Caenorhabditis elegans: one gene and its partners. The protein of the gene in region 1 purifies or fractionates together with the protein of each later gene. This does not show direct contact. Each region holds a gene or a part of one and is shown on either strand. Other genes may lie near its edges. The genes, in order: vit-4, T21C9.6, nduc-2 and W02D7.4.

The links.
Region 2: the proteins of vit-4 (region 1) and T21C9.6 purify together in Caenorhabditis elegans (affinity purification with mass spectrometry, with the first as the bait; one large-scale study listed by BioGRID). This does not show direct contact.
Region 3: the proteins of vit-4 (region 1) and nduc-2 fractionate together in Caenorhabditis elegans (co-fractionation; one large-scale study listed by BioGRID). This does not show direct contact.
Region 4: the proteins of vit-4 (region 1) and W02D7.4 purify together in Caenorhabditis elegans (affinity purification with mass spectrometry, with the first as the bait; one large-scale study listed by BioGRID). This does not show direct contact.

The regions. Positions count from the first base shown.
Region 1 is NC_003284.9:3,558,258-3,565,728, reverse strand, and holds vit-4 (Vitellogenin-4), read left to right. Parts: upstream 1-1,763; coding exon 1,764-2,627; intron 2,628-2,691; coding exon 2,692-2,976; intron 2,977-3,023; coding exon 3,024-6,061; intron 6,062-6,110; coding exon 6,111-6,339; intron 6,340-6,388; coding exon 6,389-6,524; intron 6,525-6,576; coding exon 6,577-6,836; 3' UTR 6,837-6,960; downstream 6,961-7,471. UniProt on the Caenorhabditis elegans protein: Precursor of the egg-yolk proteins that are sources of nutrients during embryonic development. Together with other vitellogenins, may play a role in modulating life-span, acting via induction of autophagy and lysosomal lipolysis.
Region 2 is NC_003283.11:10,580,159-10,587,612, forward strand, and holds T21C9.6 (Phosphoenolpyruvate synthase), read left to right. Parts: upstream 1-1,728; 5' UTR 1,729-1,733; coding exon 1,734-1,834; intron 1,835-2,378; coding exon 2,379-2,463; intron 2,464-2,508; coding exon 2,509-2,900; intron 2,901-2,942; coding exon 2,943-3,034; intron 3,035-3,079; coding exon 3,080-3,144; intron 3,145-3,225; coding exon 3,226-3,711; intron 3,712-3,757; coding exon 3,758-3,897; intron 3,898-3,947; coding exon 3,948-4,187; intron 4,188-4,234; coding exon 4,235-4,454; intron 4,455-4,534; coding exon 4,535-4,852; intron 4,853-4,902; coding exon 4,903-5,383; intron 5,384-5,695; coding exon 5,696-6,104; intron 6,105-6,154; coding exon 6,155-6,290; intron 6,291-6,333; coding exon 6,334-6,876; 3' UTR 6,877-6,919; downstream 6,920-7,454. Other genes in the region: lpd-9 (LiPid Depleted), read left to right, coding at 203-394; srg-32 (Serpentine receptor class gamma), read right to left, coding at 7,009-7,086, 7,130-7,258, 7,307-7,454.
Region 3 is NC_003281.10:2,785,346-2,788,572, reverse strand, and holds nduc-2 (NADH dehydrogenase [ubiquinone] 1 subunit C2), read right to left. Parts: upstream 1,722-3,227; 5' UTR 1,712-1,721; coding exon 1,366-1,711; intron 684-1,365; coding exon 610-683; 3' UTR 545-609; downstream 1-544. Other genes in the region: tbcc-1 (C-CAP/cofactor C-like domain-containing protein), read right to left, coding at 1-128; cox-6B (Cytochrome oxidase c subunit VIb), read right to left, coding at 1,894-2,082, 2,146-2,265, 2,313-2,369; Y71H2AM.20 (Serine/threonine-protein phosphatase 2A activator), read left to right, coding at 2,629-2,706, 2,757-2,882, 2,949-3,038, 3,084-3,227.
Region 4 is NC_003283.11:8,296,042-8,299,290, forward strand, and holds W02D7.4 (aralkylamine N-acetyltransferase), read right to left. Parts: upstream 1,564-3,249; 5' UTR 1,482-1,563; coding exon 1,359-1,481; intron 1,314-1,358; coding exon 1,109-1,313; intron 1,065-1,108; coding exon 992-1,064; intron 949-991; coding exon 861-948; intron 815-860; coding exon 737-814; intron 693-736; coding exon 561-692; 3' UTR 517-560; downstream 1-516. Other genes in the region: W02D7.5 (aralkylamine N-acetyltransferase), read right to left, coding at 1,781-1,912, 2,030-2,107, 2,195-2,282, 2,685-2,757, 2,806-3,010, 3,070-3,192.

The DNA of each region.
Region 1 (7,471 bases):
ACCATTAAGCTTTTGTATCGGATTACGTTAATAAATAATTTAATATATACCAAAACTTCCGCAAAATTGACTTGTATGGCAAAATGGCTGCAATACAAATAGAGGATTCAAAACTAGTTTTCGTTTGACTGGTAGGGGTGCAGGACTATTGGAAGTTCTGAACCTTCGACAAAATTGACATTTTCTGAATAAATTGAACTTAAACGTATTTAAATAGCTGGAGAAACTTTGGAAAACAATGTATCTTTCATGGATTGAACGTGTATCATAGTTTTTAACAAAAACTGGTAACTTTTCCGAACTTATGGAACAATTGAAAATAAGTCTTGCATTCATAACTAATAGAGGAAATGGGGTATATATTTTTAAAAAACCCACTGATGAATTTTCCTGTAAATGAAGGTGAACATTTTTACTCTGTGGCGACAAATAGGTATTCTGTATGTAATTATAAATGACAAAATAAAACTTTTCCAACTTTTATGTCAATTCAGACGTTGCTATGTTTTGAGCTTGCACCAGAAAAAAATATTATGACATCATCGAAGAGTGCCTATTGATAAAATGATCCTCAAGCTAATGCTGGTGGAAAAACATGATTTTGATAGTGTAAAACAAAATTCAGAAGGCATTAGTTTCACAAATAGAGATCTGAGTACTTTTAAATGTTAGTATGAGCTAATTGTACCCTCTTTACAATTTGTAATTGTACCCTCTTCACATGAATTTTCTTGTATTGTCCCTATTCACTAATCTTAATTTTAGGTGATAATTATACACATTACATGTCAATTGATTATTATGTATATATTGCTTGTTGTTATGTTTTTGTTATTGTTTATTTAGATTCTGTGTGTTGTATTGGTATTTCATTTCTTACACAATTGACAAATCCTACAAAAATAAATAAATCAAAATGGGAAAACCAACTCTTCAGATGGAGTTCATCGCTACAGGAAAAAATATGATTTTATCATTATGGTTTTGTGGGCCATGAAAATGCTCAATATATGGTACAGCTGGAACAGTCAATTATTATAGACTGTTGGGAATGTGTGACTTTTTTTAAATGTAGATAAAGGGGTTTTAATCTCCAATACATGAAGCAACAAATATAACTTATGAAAAAACAACAAATTGACCTGAATTCTGTAAATGTTGAAAAAAGCCAATTTATGGTCCTAATTTATAAAAAAAATCGAGCCGCGAAGAATATTAATGTTTTTATTAGCAATAATAATGGCACAAACAAAGTACGACTACTCCAAATAATGTTGTATTCACTAAACGCCGAATTTTTATCAGTGAAATGTTCAAAAAATTGCGTGTTTATCCAAGAATGTTTCCCATCAAAATTGTTGGAGCGATTAAAGCTGCCCAATTTTAACAATGGTCCATAAAACTTCCGCTTGTGATTTCAAACCACGGGCGGTAAGCAAGCACAAAGACTGCATTGACAGAACTAATGTGTATTTTTTTGATGTTCCATATTAATGTTCTATAACCCACACTGTGGTACGTCTATCAATTAAATTCAGAAACCATCATTTAGGCGTCGATCTTCAGGGAAAACTGACATCTGCAACTTTGATAATATATTTTCAACATGTATCTTTCAATTTGCGCTGATAAGCATTAAATGGCACGATCACAATCTCTGGAAATCTGTCAATAATATTAAAACCTCCTTGCAATCGCCTGTCCTGTCAATTAAACACACTGGTATAAATAGAAACGCTGGAAAGGGAATAATCACTCTCGCAATGAAGTCAATAATCATTGCCTCTCTTGTCGCCTTGGCGATTGCCGCCTCTCCGGCTCTTGACCGTACTTTCTCCCCAAAGAGCGAATACGTCTACAAATTTGACGGACTTCTTCTCTCTGGACTCCCAACTACATTTTCCGATGCTTCCCAAACCCTGATTTCTTGCCGTACCCGTCTTCAAGCTGTTGATGATCGTTACATTCATCTTCAATTGATTGATATTCAGTACTCTGCTTCCCACATTCCACAATCTGAGCAATGGCCAAAAATCGAATCTTTGGAGCAACGTGAGCTTTCCGATGAGCTCAAAGAGCTTCTTGAGCTTCCATTCCGTGCTCAAATCAGAAATGGACTTGTTTCTGAGATCCAATTTTCTTCCGAAGATGCCGAGTGGTCCAAGAACGCCAAGAGATCGATTCTCAATCTTTTCTCTCTCCGCAAGTCTGCTCCAGTTGATGAGATGAGCCAAGATCAGAAAGATATGGAATCCGACAAAGATTCTCTTTTCTTCAATGTTCATGAAAAGACCATGGAAGGAGACTGCGAAGTCGCTTACACCATTGTTCAAGAGGGAGGGAAGACCATCTACACCAAATCTGTCAACTTCGACAAATGCATCACTCGCCCAGAGACTGCTTATGGTCTTCGTTTTGGATCTGAGTGCAAGGAATGCGAGAAGGAGGGACAATTTGTTCAGCCACAAACTGTCTACACCTACACCTTCAAGAACGAGAAATTGCAAGAATCTGAGGTTAATTCTATTTACACTTTGAATGTCAACGGACAAGAGGTTGTCAAGTCTGAGACTCGCGCCAAGGTCACTTTCGTCGAAGAAAGCAAGATCAATAGAGAGATCAAGAAGGTAATTTATTTAAAAATGTATTTTATGGGCTTTTGATAGCTAACTCTAACAGTAATACTTTCAGGTCTCTGGACCAAAGGAGGAAATCGTCTACTCCATGGAAAACGAGAAGCTTATTGAGCAATTCTACAAACAAGGAGACAAAGCTGAGGTCAACCCATTCAAGGCTATCGAGATAGAGCAAAAAGTTGAGCAACTTGAAGAGATCTTCCGTCAAATTCAAGAGCACGAGCAGAACACCCCAGAAACTGTCCACCTTATTGCCCGCGCCGTCCGCATGTTCCGCATGTGCACCATCGAAGAACTCAAGAAGGTTCACACCACCATCTACACTAAGGCCGAGAAGAAGGTAACCAATACACATTTCATAATCACTAATATCATGTTCTCTCTTAGGTTCAACTTGTCATTGAAACCACATTGGCTGTGGCTGGAACCAAGAACACCATTCAACACTTGATTCATCACTTCGAGAAGAAGAGCATCACACCATTGAGAGCTGCTGAGCTTCTTAAATCTGTCCAAGAAACTCTTTACCCAAGTGAGCACATTGCTGACCTTCTCATCCAACTTGCCCAATCGCCACTCTCTGAGAAGTACGAACCACTTCGTCAATCTGCCTGGCTCGCCGCAGGATCTGTTGTTCGTGGATTTGCTTCAAAGACCCAAGACCTTCCATTGATCCGCCCAGCATCTAGACAAACCAAGGAAAAGTACGTTCGCGTCTTCATGCAACACTTCCGTAACGCTGACTCCACATACGAGAAGGTTCTTGCTCTTAAGACCCTTGGAAACGCGGGAATCGACCTTTCCGTCTATGAGCTTGTTCAGCTTATCCAAGATCCACGTCAACCACTTTCCATCCGCACTGAGGCTGTAGATGCTCTTCGTCTTCTCAAGGACGTTATGCCACGCAAGATCCAGAAGGTTCTCCTTCCAGTCTACAAGAACCGTCAAAACAAGCCAGAGCTCCGTATGGCTGCTCTTTGGAGAATGATGCACACCATTCCAGAAGAACCAGTTCTTGCTCACATCGTTTCCCAAATGGAAAACGAATCCAACCAACACGTTGCTGCCTTCACCTACAACGTCCTCCGTCAATTCTCCAAGTCTACCAACCCATGCTACCAACAATTGGCTGTTCGTTGCTCCAAGGTTCTTCTCTTCACCCGTTATCAACCACAAGAACAGATGCTCTCCACCTACTCCCAACTTCCACTTTTCAACTCTGAGTGGCTCTCCGGAGTTCAATTCGACTTCGCCACCATTTTCGAGAAGAACGCTTTCTTGCCAAAGGAAGTTCAAGCATCATTCGAAACCGTCTTCGGAGGAAACTGGAACAAATACTTCGCTCAAGTTGGATTCTCTCAACAGAACTTTGAGCAAGTCATCCTCAAGACCCTCGAAAAACTTTCTCTTTACGGAAAGCAATCTGATGAACTCCGTTCCCGTCGTGTCCAATCTGGAATCCAGATGCTTCAAGAGATTGTCAAGAAGATGAACATCCGTCCACGTGTCCAACAAACCGATTCTCAAAATGCTCACGCTGTTTTCTACCTTCGCTACAAGGAGATGGACTACATCGTTCTTCCAATTGACATGGAAACTATTGACAATGTTGTTGAGAAGTATGTCAGAAACGGGGAGTTTGACATCAAATCCCTCCTCACTTTCTTGACCAACGACTCCAAGTTCGAGCTTCACCGTGCTCTCTTCTTCTACGAGGCTGAACGCAGAATTCCAACCACCATTGGAATGCCACTCACCATTTCTGGAAAGATGCCAACTATCCTCTCTATCAACGGAAAGGTTTCAATTGAGCTCGAGAAGCTTGGAGCTCGTCTTGTTCTTGATATCGTTCCAACTGTTGCCACCACCCACGTCACTGAGATGCGCTTCTGGTATCCAGTCATTGAACAAGGAGTCAAGTCACTTCAATCTGCTCGTCTCCACACTCCATTGAGATTCGAATCAACTGTTGAATTGAAGAAGAACACTCTCGAAATCACTCACAAGTTTGTTGTCCCAGAGAACAAGAAGACCACTGTTTCCGTTCATACCCGCCCAGTTGCTTTCATCCGTGTTCCAAAGAACCAAGACTCTGAATATGTTGAGGCTGAAGAGAAGACTATTTCCCACTCACAATACCAAATGTCTACTGAAGAGATTGATCGTCAATATGAGACCTTTGGACTCAGAATCAATGCCCAAGGAAATGTTCTTTCCCAATGGACTCTTCCAATGGTCTTGATGACTGAACAAGATTTCGAGTTCACTCTTGAGAACAAAAACCGTCCAGTTGAGTTCACAGCTCGCGTCACTATTGGAAACCTCGAGAAGACTGATCTTTCCGAGATCAAGTTCGACAAGATCTTCGAAAAAGAATTCGACCTTGAGAACAACGAATCTGAGAACCGCCGCCAATACTTCCACAAGATGATCCGTGAGATTCAATCCGAGCAAGGATTCAAGAATCTTATTACCCTCAAGCTTGAGGCTCCACAACAAATGTACTGGAACACTGAACTTCGTACCGTCTGTGACAAATGGATCCGTATGTGCAAGGTTGAGATGGATGCTCGTCGCTCTCCAATAGAGCACGAGAACAAGGAATGGACTCTTCGTACTGAGCTTCTTGCTGCCCGCCCACAAATGCCATCATCCCTCCGTCAACTTCGTGAGCAACCACACCGTGAGGTTCAACTTGCACTCAACGCCAAGTGGGGATCATCAAAGAAGAGCGAGATCACCTTCAATGCTCAACTCGAACAATCCACGGAACAAAAGAAGTTCCTCCGCAACATCGAGCGTGAGTACAAGGGAATTCCAGAGTACGAACTTTTGATCAAGGCTGCTCGTCTTAACCAAGTCAATGTTGTCTCTGAGTACAAGCTCACCCCAGAGTCTGAATACACTTTCTCCCGCATTTTCGACCTTATCAAGGCATACAACTTCTGGACTGTTTCTGAGAAGCGTGTCCAAAACGAGGATCGCCGCGTCGTTCTTCAACTTTCTGTTGAGCCACTTTCCCGCCAATACATGAACATGACCATCCAGACTCCAGAACAAGAAGTTGAGTTGAAGAATGTTCGTATTCCACGCGTCGTTCTCCCAACTATTGCTCGTCGTGCCATGTTCCAACAAACCTGGGAAAAGACCGGAGCCACCTGCAAGGTTGACCAATCTGAGGTTTCTACCTTTGACAACGTGATCTACCGTGCTCCACTCACCACCTGCTACTCTCTTGTTGCCAAGGATTGCTCCGAACAGCCAAGATTCGCTGTTCTTGCCAAGAAGATCAACAAGAACTCTGAGGAGCTTCTCGTTAAGGTTGTCCGCCGTGAGGAAGAAATTGTTGTGAAGAAGTCTGACGATAAGTTCCTTGTCAAGGTTGACGGAAAGAAGGTTAACCCAACTGAACTTGAACAATACAAGTAAGCTTTAACTCTAAATCACATGAATTTTTCTAATCTCGTTTTTCAGTATCGAAATTCTTGGAGATAACCTTATTGTTATTCGTCTTCCACATGGAGAGGTTCGTTTCGATGGATACACTGTCAAGACCAACATGCCATCCGTTGCTTCACAAAACCAACTTTGCGGACTTTGCGGAAACAATGACGGTGAGAGAGACAATGAGTTCATGACCGCTGACAACTACGAAACTGAGGATGTTGAGGAATTCCACCGCTCTTACCTTCTCAAGAACGAAGTAACTATATTGTTTCAAAAAACTGAATATATATTTATTTCGTTTTCAGGAATGCGAAGTTGAGAAAGACCGCATCTCCGAGAAGAAGAACTACAAAAACAAATGGAACAGAGAAGAGAAGAAGTCCGACTACGAGAGCAGCTCCGACTACGAGAGCAACTACGATGAAAAGGAAACTGAGAAGGGTTAGTTTAAAGCTGAATGATGTGTAGTTTTAACAAAATACATATTTTTCAGAACTCGTCAAGAAGACCCTCATCAAGGAGTTCTCCAACCGCGTCTGCTTCTCCATCGAGCCAGTCTCTGAGTGCCGCCGTGGACTCGAATCCGAGAAGACTTCCAACAAGAAGATCCGTTTCACTTGCATGCCACGCCACAGCAAGAACGCCCGCCGTTTCTTGAAGGAGGCCCGTGAGCAAACCGTCGCCGACTTGGTCGATTTCCCAGTCTCCTTTGTTGAGTCTGTCAAGATCCCAACCGCCTGCGTTGCCTATTAAATTCACATTTATCATGTTTTAGTCCATAATAAATTTTCACACTAGAATACTATTCATTACACATTCTTGTATTCTGAAAAACTACCATTTTTGACATTTCTGAATGTTCATAAAAAAATGTACACTAACCGCAACTTTATTTCAGTTCCAATTTTTCACGAATCAAAATTGGAAAACTGATGTATTTGTTTTGTGTGCTACAATTATTTCAAGTTATGCTGAGTTTTTCAAAAATTCGGGTTTTCAGCTCTAAATTGGACAAATATAAAATCTGACATAATTCAAACTGTTCTGCAAAGTTTCCATCGTTCTATAATTTTTCTATCAGATAGACTGAAATATCCATTTTCAGCTCTTTTGAATGCCTACCAAAGTTTTGTTGTAAGTAGCTTCAGCTTTTTCCCATAATGGAAAATATCACCTATGCCTAAAATTTAAATGACATTATATACGGAAAAAAGGATTTTTAATAGTAAATTTTCCAAGTTATCTAAATTTAATTAAACGTTTTCAGGGAAACCAAAACTTTTTTTCAAATGTCTTTCAGAAACTTTGTAGAAAATTTTCAGCTCTTTTGAATGCCTACCAAAGTTTTTCTGTAAGTAGCTTCCGTTTTTACCCATAACGGAAAATAT
Region 2 (7,454 bases), on another chromosome or scaffold:
AAGCCGCCATAATGTTTTTAAAAAAATTTCAAAGTTCTTCACAAAATCATATATTTTGTTATGAAATGGCATAAGTACTACAAAAAAAATCAATTTTCTCATGCATAAGTAATTAAAAAAATTTTAAACAAGAAAACGTTCAATTTTTAAAAAGTGACAGCATAAAATAAAACGCAATGCGATTTGTATTGTTTTATTTCAGAACAAAGACCCCGACTTCTTCCGTCAATCTCCATATGGTCAATATTTGAAAATTGTGTGGCGATTGGCTCTTCTTTTCGGAATCATCAAAGCCGGAACTGTTGTCTACGATTTTGCCGTTCCAGAAGAGCAGCGACTCAAGTACAAGTACCGTAATCACGGACATCACGGTCACGACGATGCCCATGACTAAATTTCTGATTCACCACCGTCCGAACGTCTTCTTTTTGCATAGGAAGAAAGAGCCCATTTTAGTGTATTTGTAATCATTATCATTATCACAAAAAGATTTTTCTTGTAAAAAATGTCTTCCCATAAACATTCACAACATTGCAAAGAACATATCCAATATTCGAATTAGAAGACCACCCAGATGGAAATTAAATACGTCGGCTGGTTTTATTTGCGCCGTCAATTCAGTTATCGAAAAAATCATCATCGTCATAAACTTAGTTATTGATTATTTCCTGATAACTACTTATACGTTCAACCAAATCATTTCGTTATCAGCCACAGTTTATATGTGCCATAAGATTCTTCAGCACTCAACTTTTCCAGTTTCTTATTTTTTGAACTTACCAATGCTAGAAGTATAAACATAGAAATTCACATTCTTTCTAGTTAACTTCTCTGCAATGACTGGTCGTTTTTGGAAAACATGGTTTGTACTCAAACTATTCAATTTTTTTGCCGAATTCTTCTTCGAGCCCTTGCCATAGATTATTCATTGTGTGACATCTCTATTGTATTCTCTATTATTTAGTACTAACTTCTCTGGAATTCGACTTGCATGTCATACTATTAGAGTATATGGCCGTGATGATAGGCTTGTGATGATATACCTTGTGAGGGCTGTGAAAAACAACAAAAAATCGAATTTCTCCAGAAAACCAAAAAAAAAACACTCTATTTTTTTCGATTTTTCATCAATCCAACTAAAACATAACATCTTTGAAAAACAATTTTTCTGTTAATTTGGTCTGAAAAAAAAATCAAAAATCCATTTTTACGAAAAAACCAAAAAAGCAAAAAACCGACAGCTCTGCTATGATATACTCATCTATGATGTGATATAGATGAATGTCTAGCGATGATTTTTTATAGAAACAATATGCCCGATTATTGAGCCTTAAAAATTCACTAAAATTTCTCAATTAATCTTTGTTTGCCGAGTTTGACATATAAGTTGCTAGAAGCTATTGATCTTTTCCATTTTCCAACAACAAATATTTGACCTTCAATACAACAACACTAATTTATTAGCACAATCACTATCAAATCTGCACGTACTTTTGTATTTATTTAATGATTTAATCAAGAGTCTTTTATCAAACTACATAGATATTCTAAGTGTCACATGAAAATCAGTTGGCAAATATATACATTTTAAAACTATTTTATAAACCGTTTCAAGACAAGTACACTTGAAGCTATCTCTGATTACTAAAATACTATCAAGATCTATCTCTTCAGTTATTGATGTTCTTACATGTATTGCTATTGACATAAAATTCTACGTATTTACAGAACAAATGTTGATATTCCTGTTTTTGCTGTTTCTTTCAGCTCCACTATGCAAGTTTGTATTGTATCCAGTGATATACGCGTTCCTTAAATGGAGACATCCGGTCAAGTGAGTACTAATGTGATTATGGACCCAGTATGGGGCAATTGATCACTTTTTTGTTTACGACCCAAACTGGTTATCTATATTGAAATTCGAGTTTTTTGTCAATTGTGATTTGATACTATCAGTTGATTAACAAGTGAGCACACTTTTTTTTTTGAATGAATAGCAGAAACCATACTTTGATAAATTGACAAAAAGTTGAAACTTCTATCTAGATTTCTATGGAAAATATGAACGATGACTATCCGATTCGTTCACTCTTATAGTATTTAAAGAAAAGACATGTGCTTGAATAGATAAAAGATTGATTTAAAAAATTACTCAAACGTTTTTGCAATACTTTAAATACCACTCATTTTTTTTCGCTGATCGAAATTTGGAAATCGTACTTTTAAAACATTTTCAAAATAAAATCTTTAACTGTTCCCTTCTTGCATATTGATGGTATTCATGCATATTGTCTTTTTATAAGTTCTAGTGAATTACCGAGATTTTTTTGATTTTTTTTAAACTAAAAAAGGCTACAGTAGACTCAATACAATTTCAGAAAGTTCACTGCTCCAACTGCAAAGATTCGTGACATTATAAACCCTGATAAAGAGGAATGGGAACTGGAACATATTAAAAATGAAGTATGAATAATAAAAATAGACACGAAATTCGTCCTTTTTTTGCAGGAAATTCTAACAATTAGCGGTTCTGGAGAAGATAATAGTTTTGTGTATATTCAAGTTATAACAAAGAATGAAATTCATTTTGCTCATATTCGAGTTTTCGAAAAAGGAATTCTTTATTCCGGATCATACAAAGCAGTATTCTCCGATAATCGAACAATTTCATGTGGACCATTGCTAATTGAGCTTCGAAACCCATTCCGTAAATGGAGAATTAATTTCCGTGGATACCTGAATGATGCTAAAGGCAACTCTCATTTTGTTATACTTTCGGGATGGTGGAAATGTGTGTCGAATGCTAGATTTTTCTATTCAAATGCTCTTTTGAAGTCATTCAATGAAATTTACAATGACAAACCAACTGCACTGATTGAGAATTTGAAAACTATCGAAAAGTGACTGAATCATTTCTTACAAATACGTTATATCAACTTTAGGTACCGAAAAGGAAATGTGTTAAACCAAATGGGTGAATATCACGCAGAAATCAAAATTGGGAAAGATGAAGTTGTCGAACATAGATATAGAGGTTGAAAACACACGATACAAAAACCAAATTCCATCAAAGTTTCAGGACTTCGTCATAGAAATCCATTAGACTTGGAGACAAGTTCTACACATTTTCATACATACCTGAGCGTAAGGTTTATTTATCTTTTTTGTATTATAGAAAAGTAGAAATACTTTTTGGCTTATCCCGCTTAAGAAAGTAGTTTTCAGGATGCAAATGCAATTTCCTATCGTGTCAACTCTGTAGATGAAAAGAAATCAGTTAGTCACGGAGTGGGATTCCGTTCAGATCACAGTGCTCGTCCAATAATTATTGATAATTCTCATTCCCTTGAGTCAGATAATATGCTTCCAGTTCAATTCAAATATGTTTCACGTGGACTTCTCCCTCTTGAAATGAGAAAAGGACGAAAATTATGTCATTTCACGTTTATTCGAGAAGACAACAAGGTTGTCGACGTTACTGCGTTAGAAGTTAATTCTGCAATTTTTACGGGAGTTGGATTTGTGGTTAGAGTGAGAGAGGCAATTCATGAAGTTACAACTAAACTTCCCGATAGTTTCCCGGAATATCATGCAACTGAATCAGAAAAGATGAAATCAGTAGTCTCATTCAATCACAGAGCATGTCAGGATAAAATGTTAACTGGCGGAAAAGGTGCGAATTTAGCAAGACTTCAAGCAATCACCGATGATGTAAGTTCTGAAAGTAAGCATATACAATGTTGAAATAGATTTTCAGTTCCATGTGCCTCCTGGAATAGTTGTCACTACCGCAGCTTTCAACAAGCATGTAATTGCGAATCCAAATGTTTTAGAAGAAATAAAACTTCTCGATATCAACGATAAAAATGCCGAGTATTATGAGGATGTTGGTAAAAGGTAATAAAATAAGTTATCAATCCAATATTTAGAAACATGACATATTTTAGAATTGAAGGGCTTCTTTTCGAAAGTGAAGTGTCTCAAGAACTGCAAAAAGAAATTAAGGAGTGGTTACCGCGTTCTGAATACTATGCAGTAAGATCATCTGCAGTTGGAGAAGATGGAGCAGATCTTTCATCAGCTGGACAACTGGAAAGTTACTTGGATGTGATTGAAATTGATATAGTTGATAAACTGAAGCTGTGTTGGGGCTCTAATTTTAGAAGAGAAGTATTGAATTACAGAAAGTAGGTTTTAACAAGTTAAAATTTCAATCACAATGTGACGTTTACAGAAACTACGGTCAGCAGCTTAATCCGTCAATGGCTGTAGTTATTCAAGAAATGGATCGAAACGGAGTGGCTGGAGTTATGTTCACCGCAAATCCAGTAAAATTAGATCGTGGAGAAATTGTGATAAATGCATTGAAAGGAAGTGGGGAACAAATTGTGAGCGGTGTGACGACACCAGATGAGATTTACGTAAATCGAATCCATAAAACGGTGGTCATAAATGTAAGTTGGGTTTTCTTAAAAGGATTTTTGCTATATTTTACCTTTTTGTCAATAAAGAAGTACTACAAAAATATTTTCAGAAAGTTGGCGTCGATTGTTGCTTGGATGACTATCAGATTGAGAAACTTACCAAAGTTGGAGAGTACTTGGAGAGAATATTTGGAAAACCTCAAGATATTGAATTTGTTGTTAGAAATCAAATGGTTAATATTGTTCAAAGTCGAGATATTACTGGTTTGGATAAGGAGACTCAATTTGAAATGTGCACAGAATATAATTCGCCAAGTATTCATGACAAAGAAATTCTAACAAATGCAAATGTTGGAGAAGTTCTTCCAGTTCCGGTTAATGCCATGGAAGCTCATAATTTAACTGGAATGTTTGATAAAGTCATTGCAGTAAGAATAACAATATAATTAAAAAAATTAAATTATAAACAAAATTTCAGTCAATGACATTTCAAGAGCTCAATGATGTTGTGCCGGCACATACTTCAATCGGCTTTTCCGTTGCACACCGTAAAATATTTTTCAATTTGGGAGAAGTTGTTCTTCGAATTTGGGAACTGGTTGAAAAAGATCGAATTACTGATATAGTGATTGCTGGAGAAACTCTTTTCAATGCGGAAATGTTCCAACAAGCAGCTCATCAATACGGAAAAGTTTCACCTTTCTTTCCGTTGAAGAGAATGTTCAACATGATCAAGTTAATATATTTTACATCAAACAGTGTGAAGGCGAAAATTGTCAAAATCGACGAGGAAGCAAAGAAACTGGTGCCAAATGATAAAATGACGATTGAGATAGTATTCAAAAAATATGACGAGCTTGAGAAGTTGTGGTGTGATGCAAGCCATTGTCACACCAGTCTTTCAATGTTCTCTTCTTTCACATATGTGCTATGTGGAATGCTTATTCGTGGAAGTGACAGTTAGTTTTTGTGGAAAGTGTTGAAAGGCCTTCAAATGATATAGAGTTTAACTGGAATTCTTAAGGAAGGGTTAAGCTCTCCTTAAAATACTATTTTTGATAGGTTTTTAAGAGTTCACACAATTGATGATTACGCATTAATCATTTAAAATTGTGTTTGTTATTTAGCAGCATACTTGAAAATACCTATAAAATTATGATTTCTGTGTCAAATCTGTCCTCCTTTTGATTCTTGAAATTAAGTATTTCTAAGTTGTAATTATTCAAATTTTATAGAATCTGATATCAACTTCCATTCAAAATATTTTTCAGATGGACCTCTTTCCAATGACAATATATCCGATTTTGCCAATGTGTTCTCCAATAACTCTCGTGGAGATGTAATCAGTGCTGACGTTCCAAATTCTTTAAAGAAACTTGCAAAAACCATTCGAGAAGAGAGTATTGATAAAGAATTTTGTGCTGCAGAAGACGATGAGGCTTTGAAAACACTTGAAAACGGAAAGAAAAGCTCTGACGAATTGAGAAGATTTCTAGAATTGCATGGACATCGAGGGCCGAAAGAACTTTATTTAGATGCTACCACCTGGGAAGAGGACACCAATTTATTAGTTCATACAATTAAAAGTATGTTGGCTTGCCCAGAAACGTCTGGGAAGACTATTGAGAATGAAGATGATATTATTGATAACTTGAAATGCAAGCCGACTGGTATTAGAAGGTGGGAAACTTTTTGTAACCATTTGAAAAAAATGCATTTACACATTTCAGAAGACTTTTGAAATATTTCATCGGTCAGACACACCGTGGAGTTTCATTTAGAGAAACAGCAAAAAATCATTTAGTTTCCACGACACATTCTCTTCGAAAGGCATGCAGAATGGTTGGAAAGAAGTTGTATGAAAAAGTGAATTAATTTAAAATTTGCTGCAAGTAATTTTCAATTTTAGGGATATCTTCCTGATCCAAATCTTTGGATGCACTTCTCAATGGACGAACTTAAAGAATTGAATGCAACAAGAAGTGCAAAACTTGTTTCCAGAGCAATCAGAAGAAAACAGATTTCATCGAAGTTTGAAGGTCTCCAATTTCCACTTGTTTCTCATGGATACATGAATCCAATTAAAATAGAAATCGCTGAAACTGATGCAAATATTGGTATCATTCTTCGAGGAACTACAGTATGCGAAGGAAAAGTTAGAGCCAGAGCAAGAGTTGCCAAAACATTGGAAGAAGCAAAAGAGACAAAACCAGGAGAGATTCTCATTACAAAATACACGGATATCTGTTGGTCTCCATTTTTCCCAATTATCAGTGGAATTGTCACCGAGATTGGAGGACTACTCAGTCATGGGGCTGTTGTTGCAAGAGAGTATGGACTACCAAGTTTGATTGCAGTTTCCAATGCAACATATCACTTTAAAACTGGTGATCTTGTTGAACTGGACTCTATTTCTGGCACAATTAGCCGACTGGACACTAATCAGGAATAAATTTATGTAATCAATTTTTTTCAAATAAAACTGTTTTATGTGAGTGTTTATTCAAAATTTGATATTCTAGAACACAAATAAAAAAGATGCGTATGTTCACATTGGTCAGTAAATCAGTAAATAAAAAATATGTTAGTACACGGAACTTGTTACCATGACAGCTCTACTCCTGAGACTGGGAAAATGGTCTGTTGCCATTGACGTACGTACCTAGAAAAATAAGACATGTTTCACAGAATTATATATCATTTACCTTGGTACTAAAATACATAATAGTCCATGGATGATTGAAAGTGAGTATGTCACTAACAAAAGGCATCAATGCTTTTGCAGTTTGGGCTCCGACTGACATTCCTTCTGATGGTGCGGCGCGAAGAATCAACTAAAAGTATTGAAATATTGAATAACTGAGGAGGCAAAACCTAAATACCGTATCTCCGAGAGCTAATAGCTGAATAATGAACGAAACAAAGCTGACAGTAAACAGATTTCTCTCTGCACCACTGATCCTTGTTGGAAGAAGAGTCAGACGAATTATTGAGACAATGTTTGCAGTTGCGGTAAATAATGTAAAAACT
Region 3 (3,227 bases), on another chromosome or scaffold:
ATTTGTGCTCCTTCAGATTTCGATAAACATTCTTCAGTTTGCACTTTTCGTTCTTCATTTCTTTGTTCCAGTTTTGCAATTAATCGATCTTTTCGATCCAATAAAATTTGTTCCGAAGATGCTTCCATTATGCTGAAATCTGGCGTTTTTTTGCGCGATTTTTGTGGCAAAAAACTGGTCTCGCCACGACAATTTTGAGTTTTTTTTTAAATTTTTGATCGATTTTTCATAGTTTTTTTTTCAGATTTTATAGAAATTTATGTGTTTTTATTCTAGTTTCGTTAAAAAAATATGCAAAAATTCTCATAAAATGTGAGAAAAACTATAAAAAATCAATAAAAACCACCGGAACAAAAGTTTAAAACTACAGTACTTTTTAAAGGCGCATCCCTCTTCGCATTTAACACAAATTGTCGCGTCGAGACCCAGGATATAGTATAGTATTTTTGCCCCAAAATTGCTTCTGGGTTAATTAGTTATATTCAAAACGGCTCAAAAGACCAGATGGATGCTGAAAAATGAAAAAAATGAGAATTTTCCGGGAAAAAAATCAATAATTCTTCATTTAATTTACAATAATGAACTAAAAAGAGACTTCGAGAGAATTGTTCAGTCGTATCTGGTGTACTGGGTTCTGCGTGGATACCATGGAAGAAGAACTTGAGAGAATGAACGTCCACTGCCTGAAAAATAAATAGATTCCATGAATTTTTGATGATTTTCTTGCATTTTTCACTAGAAAATCTTCCGTTTTCCCAGAAATTTTGAATTTTTTAGCCAGAATTCCCTTTTTTTCGCACTAATTTCCAAAATAATTACTTAGAATTGCGAAAAAAAAACTGAATTCTAGTCCAAAATTCAAGTTTTCTGTGATGTGTCGATTTACGCAGCTCGTGTACTCCTCGAGGAGAAGATTAAGCTGAAATGCGCCATTTTCACTATTTTTTTTCTGAATTTAACATAAAAATCGGTGATTTATAGTATTTTACATGAACAATGACGAATTTACTGTTAAAAAATACGAAAAAACCGATAATTTGTAGTTTTCCATGGTGTTTTAGGCTAAAATCGGTTTTTCACGCCAATTTTTGCTATTTTTAAGATAAAAATCATTGATTTGGGTGTTTGAATGCAAAAATTGGTCCGAAATCGAGCATTTTAGCCAAATCTTCTCCTTTTCAGCGTTTTTTTTTCGGGGAAAATGTATATATTTTCTGCATTTATCACAGAAAATCGCGAAAAATACGGTATTCTCTGGGGGGAAAAAGCCGAAATCTTTCAAATTTGATCGAATTCAGCCGGGTTTTTTTTTCGAAATTGCAGTAAAATCTGAAAATCGATTTTTCAGCAAATTCCAAAACTCACGATCATTAAAATGGTCGAAATCCTCTGGATGAAGCTTCATGTAGTGCTCGATGACTGCGTCTCTCGTCTGATAGTGTCTCTCTCGAAGTGCTCCGGCAGCGTATCCGGCGGCGGTGGCGGCTCCGATGAGCAAAAGCCGTGGAACAATTGCGTAGTAGTACGGCTTCTTGTTCCATCGATTTTGCAAATAAACCGAAGCCAGCGAGATTCCGAGCATTGCACTGGCACCCTTCAATGGGTAGCTCCATGTGAATGGATCGGCCAGGTGACGAGCTCTGTGTCCTGCGCGAATAAAGGTCTCGCGGCGCTCGATTTCCTTCTCGCTGACGCGAGTTGAGTCAGCCATGGTTTCCACTGAGAAAATTATTTATTTGGGGGAAATATGATTTTTAAAAAAAATGAGATATTTCAAGCGTCTCATAACGCCATAAGAAATAAAAGTGTTTAAAATATTTTACAAGTGACACTTTTTATCGAATATCAGCACTAATAAAACGCCTGTTCTCGAATACAATCGAACAATCTCATTTAGCGATCGAATTTAGCTGGGAAACGTCCCTCGGAAAGAAGCTCGTCCCATCTCTCGGTCCAGAATCCGGGGCAGAAGTCCTTGTAGACATTTTGGAAGAACTTGCACGGCTTGTAGTCCTGTCCCATGAGCTCATTGCAACGATGGAAATCGACGTAGTAGGCGAAGCATTGACGTTGCTTACGGACCTGAAAACTTGTACATTTTTATTATTAATTAATATATAATAAATTTTAAATAAAGTTACCAACCTGTGGGAATCTGGCGTCGTATGGAGCAGCCCAGAGAAGATCCTTCTTCACAGACTCGTGGGTCTCCTTCTTGTACCAGTCTGGCGAGTCTGGATGACGGAGAGCATCGGAGAACTTCTCCTGTAAATTTTTATCGATAAAAATGAAGAAAAACGCTAAAAATTCACCTTGTATTGCTGGAGTCTCTCGTAAGTGGTTGGGGGAACCTCAACTTCGACAGGCATTACTGAAATTGAATATAATTGAAATTTAAACACGGGCGGTTATTTTCAAAGCTCAGAAATCCGTGAAAACCGAATTAAACAATATTTAAAATCAATAAAAATTTTTCACTAAAGACGCTGCGCGAGCCACACACTCCTATACACCTCTCACGCACAAAACGCTCCACAATGGGGTTTTGCGTTGGAGCGCACTTGCTGCATTATTTTTTTACATAACAAAGTTCTAGAAATCAAAACAAATAGATTTTTTTCCAGAAAAATGGCTGAAAACTCGTATAAACCGCCGGAAAAGATGATTAAAAATGTGTTCGACCTGAATCCGTGGTACTTTTCCAAGGTAGAACAGAAATTTTATCGATTTGAAGGATTATGAATGGAAATTTGCAGGCTTACGAGGAGTACCTGGCTTTCTTGCATCGTTTGAATGATTCTGTAGTTGGAGTTCATACAACTGCAGACATGAGATGCACAGACTTGGTTATCAGCTTTATCGACATGCTGGATAAGCTGGAGGTTCGAGAAATTACGGAAAATTACGAAAAACCAGATTTAAAAAAATAAAAAATGGATTTTTTTCAGAAATGGGCTGAGGAAATTCCTCTGGAAGATGTTTCCGAGCAAAGATTTGGCAATAAAGCTTACAGAAAGTTTTATGAGAAGCTTTGCAAGGTTTTTAGCTCAAAAATGTATTTAAAAAGATTTTAAAAATTCCAGGAATCCCCAGATCTCCTAGCCAGCGTTCTTCCGGAAAACGTCCACGATGCTCTAGTCGAACTGGTTCCATATTTCACAGAATCCTTCGGAAACGCCACTCGAATCGATTACGGCTCGGGACACGAGGCGAATTTCCTAATTTTG
Region 4 (3,249 bases), on another chromosome or scaffold:
TGACACTGTTGCGTGTGCAATATGAGGAAAACTTTCGAAAAAAAAATCGGGAAATATGATGACAGGATTTACGGAAAAGGAAAGGGAACAGATTGTACATATCGAGAGTGAAGTGGTAGTACTAACAAGTTATGAGATGATCCAGATCTTGACCTATTTTGGGATACAGAAATGTAAATAAGAACTTTTAAAGAACAACTATAAGTTTAGTAACACATGGTTATGTTTATATATGGTGAATAATAAATATTCGTATTTGGAGTTAAAAAATATCTCACTTAAATACTATACGAGTTTACCCCAAGAGCAGTACTGTAAGAATACTGGAATTCGTTTTTTGGAAACATCATATCACAGAGCTCGAACAAAAGATTTCTAGTAACATTATGAAGGATAAATAAGAATCAATTTAATTTTTGGCAGGTGTTTATTTCAGTATATGATGGAAATTCGGTTATGTAGCTTACTATTCTATTGACACTCATTTAATATCGTATTATGTATTTCACCAAAAAATAAACGTGCCTAAACATTTATTAAGTCTATTTTCATTTGAATTCTTATTCTGGCAAGTTCTCGTACTCCTCAATTGGTTTGAAGTTCAGGCAAAGAGAAGTTGTACCATCATCCAACTTCAAAACTTGATTTCCTTTTGAATCAACAATTGTCGAATATGGCAACTCTTTGAGGCACTATAAATTACTTTTAATTTCTGGAAAAGTGTGACTTTCCCTACCTTAAAACCAGCTTTTTCGAGAACAATTTGATTGGCAAGTGATGTGGTCTCCGAGAGAACTCCACCAATGTTATATTTCTAAATTAATCAATCCATTTATCAAACATTAAAGAAACATACATACTTTCAAGTTACGTTTTGTCATGTTAGTAGTAACCATTTTGGTAGCAATTCCAAGTCGAGTGAACTGAGGAGCTACGCTTCCAATTTCTCTGGAAACAGCAATTTTATTTTTAAAAAAAGTCCCGAGGATACCTGTGAATAATGGAATTGACGTTTGGTGGAGCAATTTTCCAAAAGTTCAAATGAGCCTTGTTCAAAAATTGGACTGAAAGCAACAAATTAAACTTATTATCTGGATCGACGGCTCACTAAAAAGTTTGAAATTCTCCGGAAGACCTGTATCATCAAAATCAGCATTCTCAAGTGGATCAGTACGATTCCAAACAGAAGCCAAAAGACAAGCAGCCAAATCACCATTTTCTTGGAGGACAACTGTTGAGAAAGGTGTAGTGAGACAGCGGGTTACGGTAGCTGTGAAAACGCCACGAGATATTTCTGGGGAGATTTTTAGCGCCTGAACAAGTGATCGGAATAATTAACTAGAAAATTGTGAACAAACTCTTGAACATGGCTCCTCCTTTGCAAAATGTTTATCCAGAAACTTAATAATTCGTTCATGATCCTTCGGTTGTGCGACACGGAAAAGAAGTGGAGAATTTCGAAGAACTTTGGATAACATCATATTGTTATATTGAGTTGTTCAAAAGAACAAAAAGAACGAAGTGGTATCGATAATATTGCTTGTTGTGTTGGAAACATAAAGTGACATTTTATTTGACAGTTCACGCAAGTTTTAAATGTCAATCAAGAATTAATATTTTTGAATTTCTTCATGATACCCGATGAGTTTTCAGTTCAAAATAAAGATAAGTTTATTTTCCAGTTAAAATTAAGTTTTTACATTTTTAAATACAATTAGAGAGGATGAAATACAATTTCAATTTTAATAATTATTACATCACAATTTAATAGATCTATTGTTCATTCTGGTAGGTTTTCGTATTCTTCAATTGGCTTGAAATTGAGACAAAGAGAAGTTGTTCCATCATCCGGTCGAAGTACACGATTGCCTTTTGAATCAACTATTGCAGAGTAGGGTAGCTCTTTGAGACACTGAAAATGCAAATAGTTTTGGGTTGATGACAGATATTTGCTCCAATATTCAAAATTTAGAATTTGTTAAAATCTATTTTGAAATCCTAATTTCTTTGTTCTTCTTCATAAAATCACCTTGAATCCAGCTTTTTGGAGAACTATCTGATTTGCGAGAGACGATGTTTCCGAGAGAACTCCACCAATATTATATTTCTGAAATATTATATTTCATTTTATTCGGCATACAACAATTTTTTCCGGTTTGACACTTTTATTTTCACATCTTTTCTTAAAACTTACTTTCAAATTAGTTTTAGTCATATTTGTAGTTACCATCCTTGTTGCAATTCCTTTTCTTGTGAACTGTGGGGCGACACTTCCGATTTCTCTGAAATAAAAACAAATATTTATTAACAAATGAAACATCAATCGTATTATGGAAACACCGCGTTTTGAAAATGCGTATTACGCAACACATTTGACGCGCAGAATATCTCGTAGTGAAAGCTACAGTAACTCGTAGAATGTCTACTGTGGCGCTGTTGTAAATTTACAGCGAAGTTCCATTTTTATTCGTTTTTCGTGTTATTTTCTCATTTTTTGCTTAATTTTAGTGTTCTATCGATAAATAAATGATTTTAATTAATTTTGAAGACCAAGCCCTTAAGTCGAGAAAACCGCTACAGTAGCAATTTAAAGAGTTACTGTAGTTTTCGCTACGAGATATCTTGCGCGTCAAGTATGTTGCGCAATACGAATCCTGAGAATTTAGTGCTTTCGTAATATGTACCTATGAATAATGGAATTAACGTTTGGCGGAGCAATTTTCCAAAAGTTTGAGTGGGCGGAGTTGATGAATTGGACTGAAAATACTAATTAATCAAATTTGTGTTTTAAAACAGAGCTGATACCAAAAAGTTTCAAATTTTCCGGCATTCCCGAACTATTGAAATCTGCACTATCAATTGGGTCTGTTCGATTCCATACAGAAGCTAAAAGGCACGCTGCAATCTCGTCATTTTCTTGAAGAACTACGGTAGAAAATGGGAAATTGAGGCAACGAGTTACAGTAGTTGTAAAGATTCCACGAGATGTTTCAGGGGAAAGTTTGAGCGCCTGAAAAAACAAAGATTTACTGTGTTTTGAATCTGGTAAATAAAAATCGATTAACTAACTCTAGCACATGGTTCCTCTTTCGCGAAATGAGCATCCAAGAACTTCAGGATGTTCTCCTTGTCCTTCGGCTGAGCAACTCGGAACAGAAGCTGTGGTTTTTGGAAGAATTTGGACAGCTGCATATTTATCTGAACCAATAACTAAAAATTAAATGCCAAACTGCCAATGAAGGAAAAAAC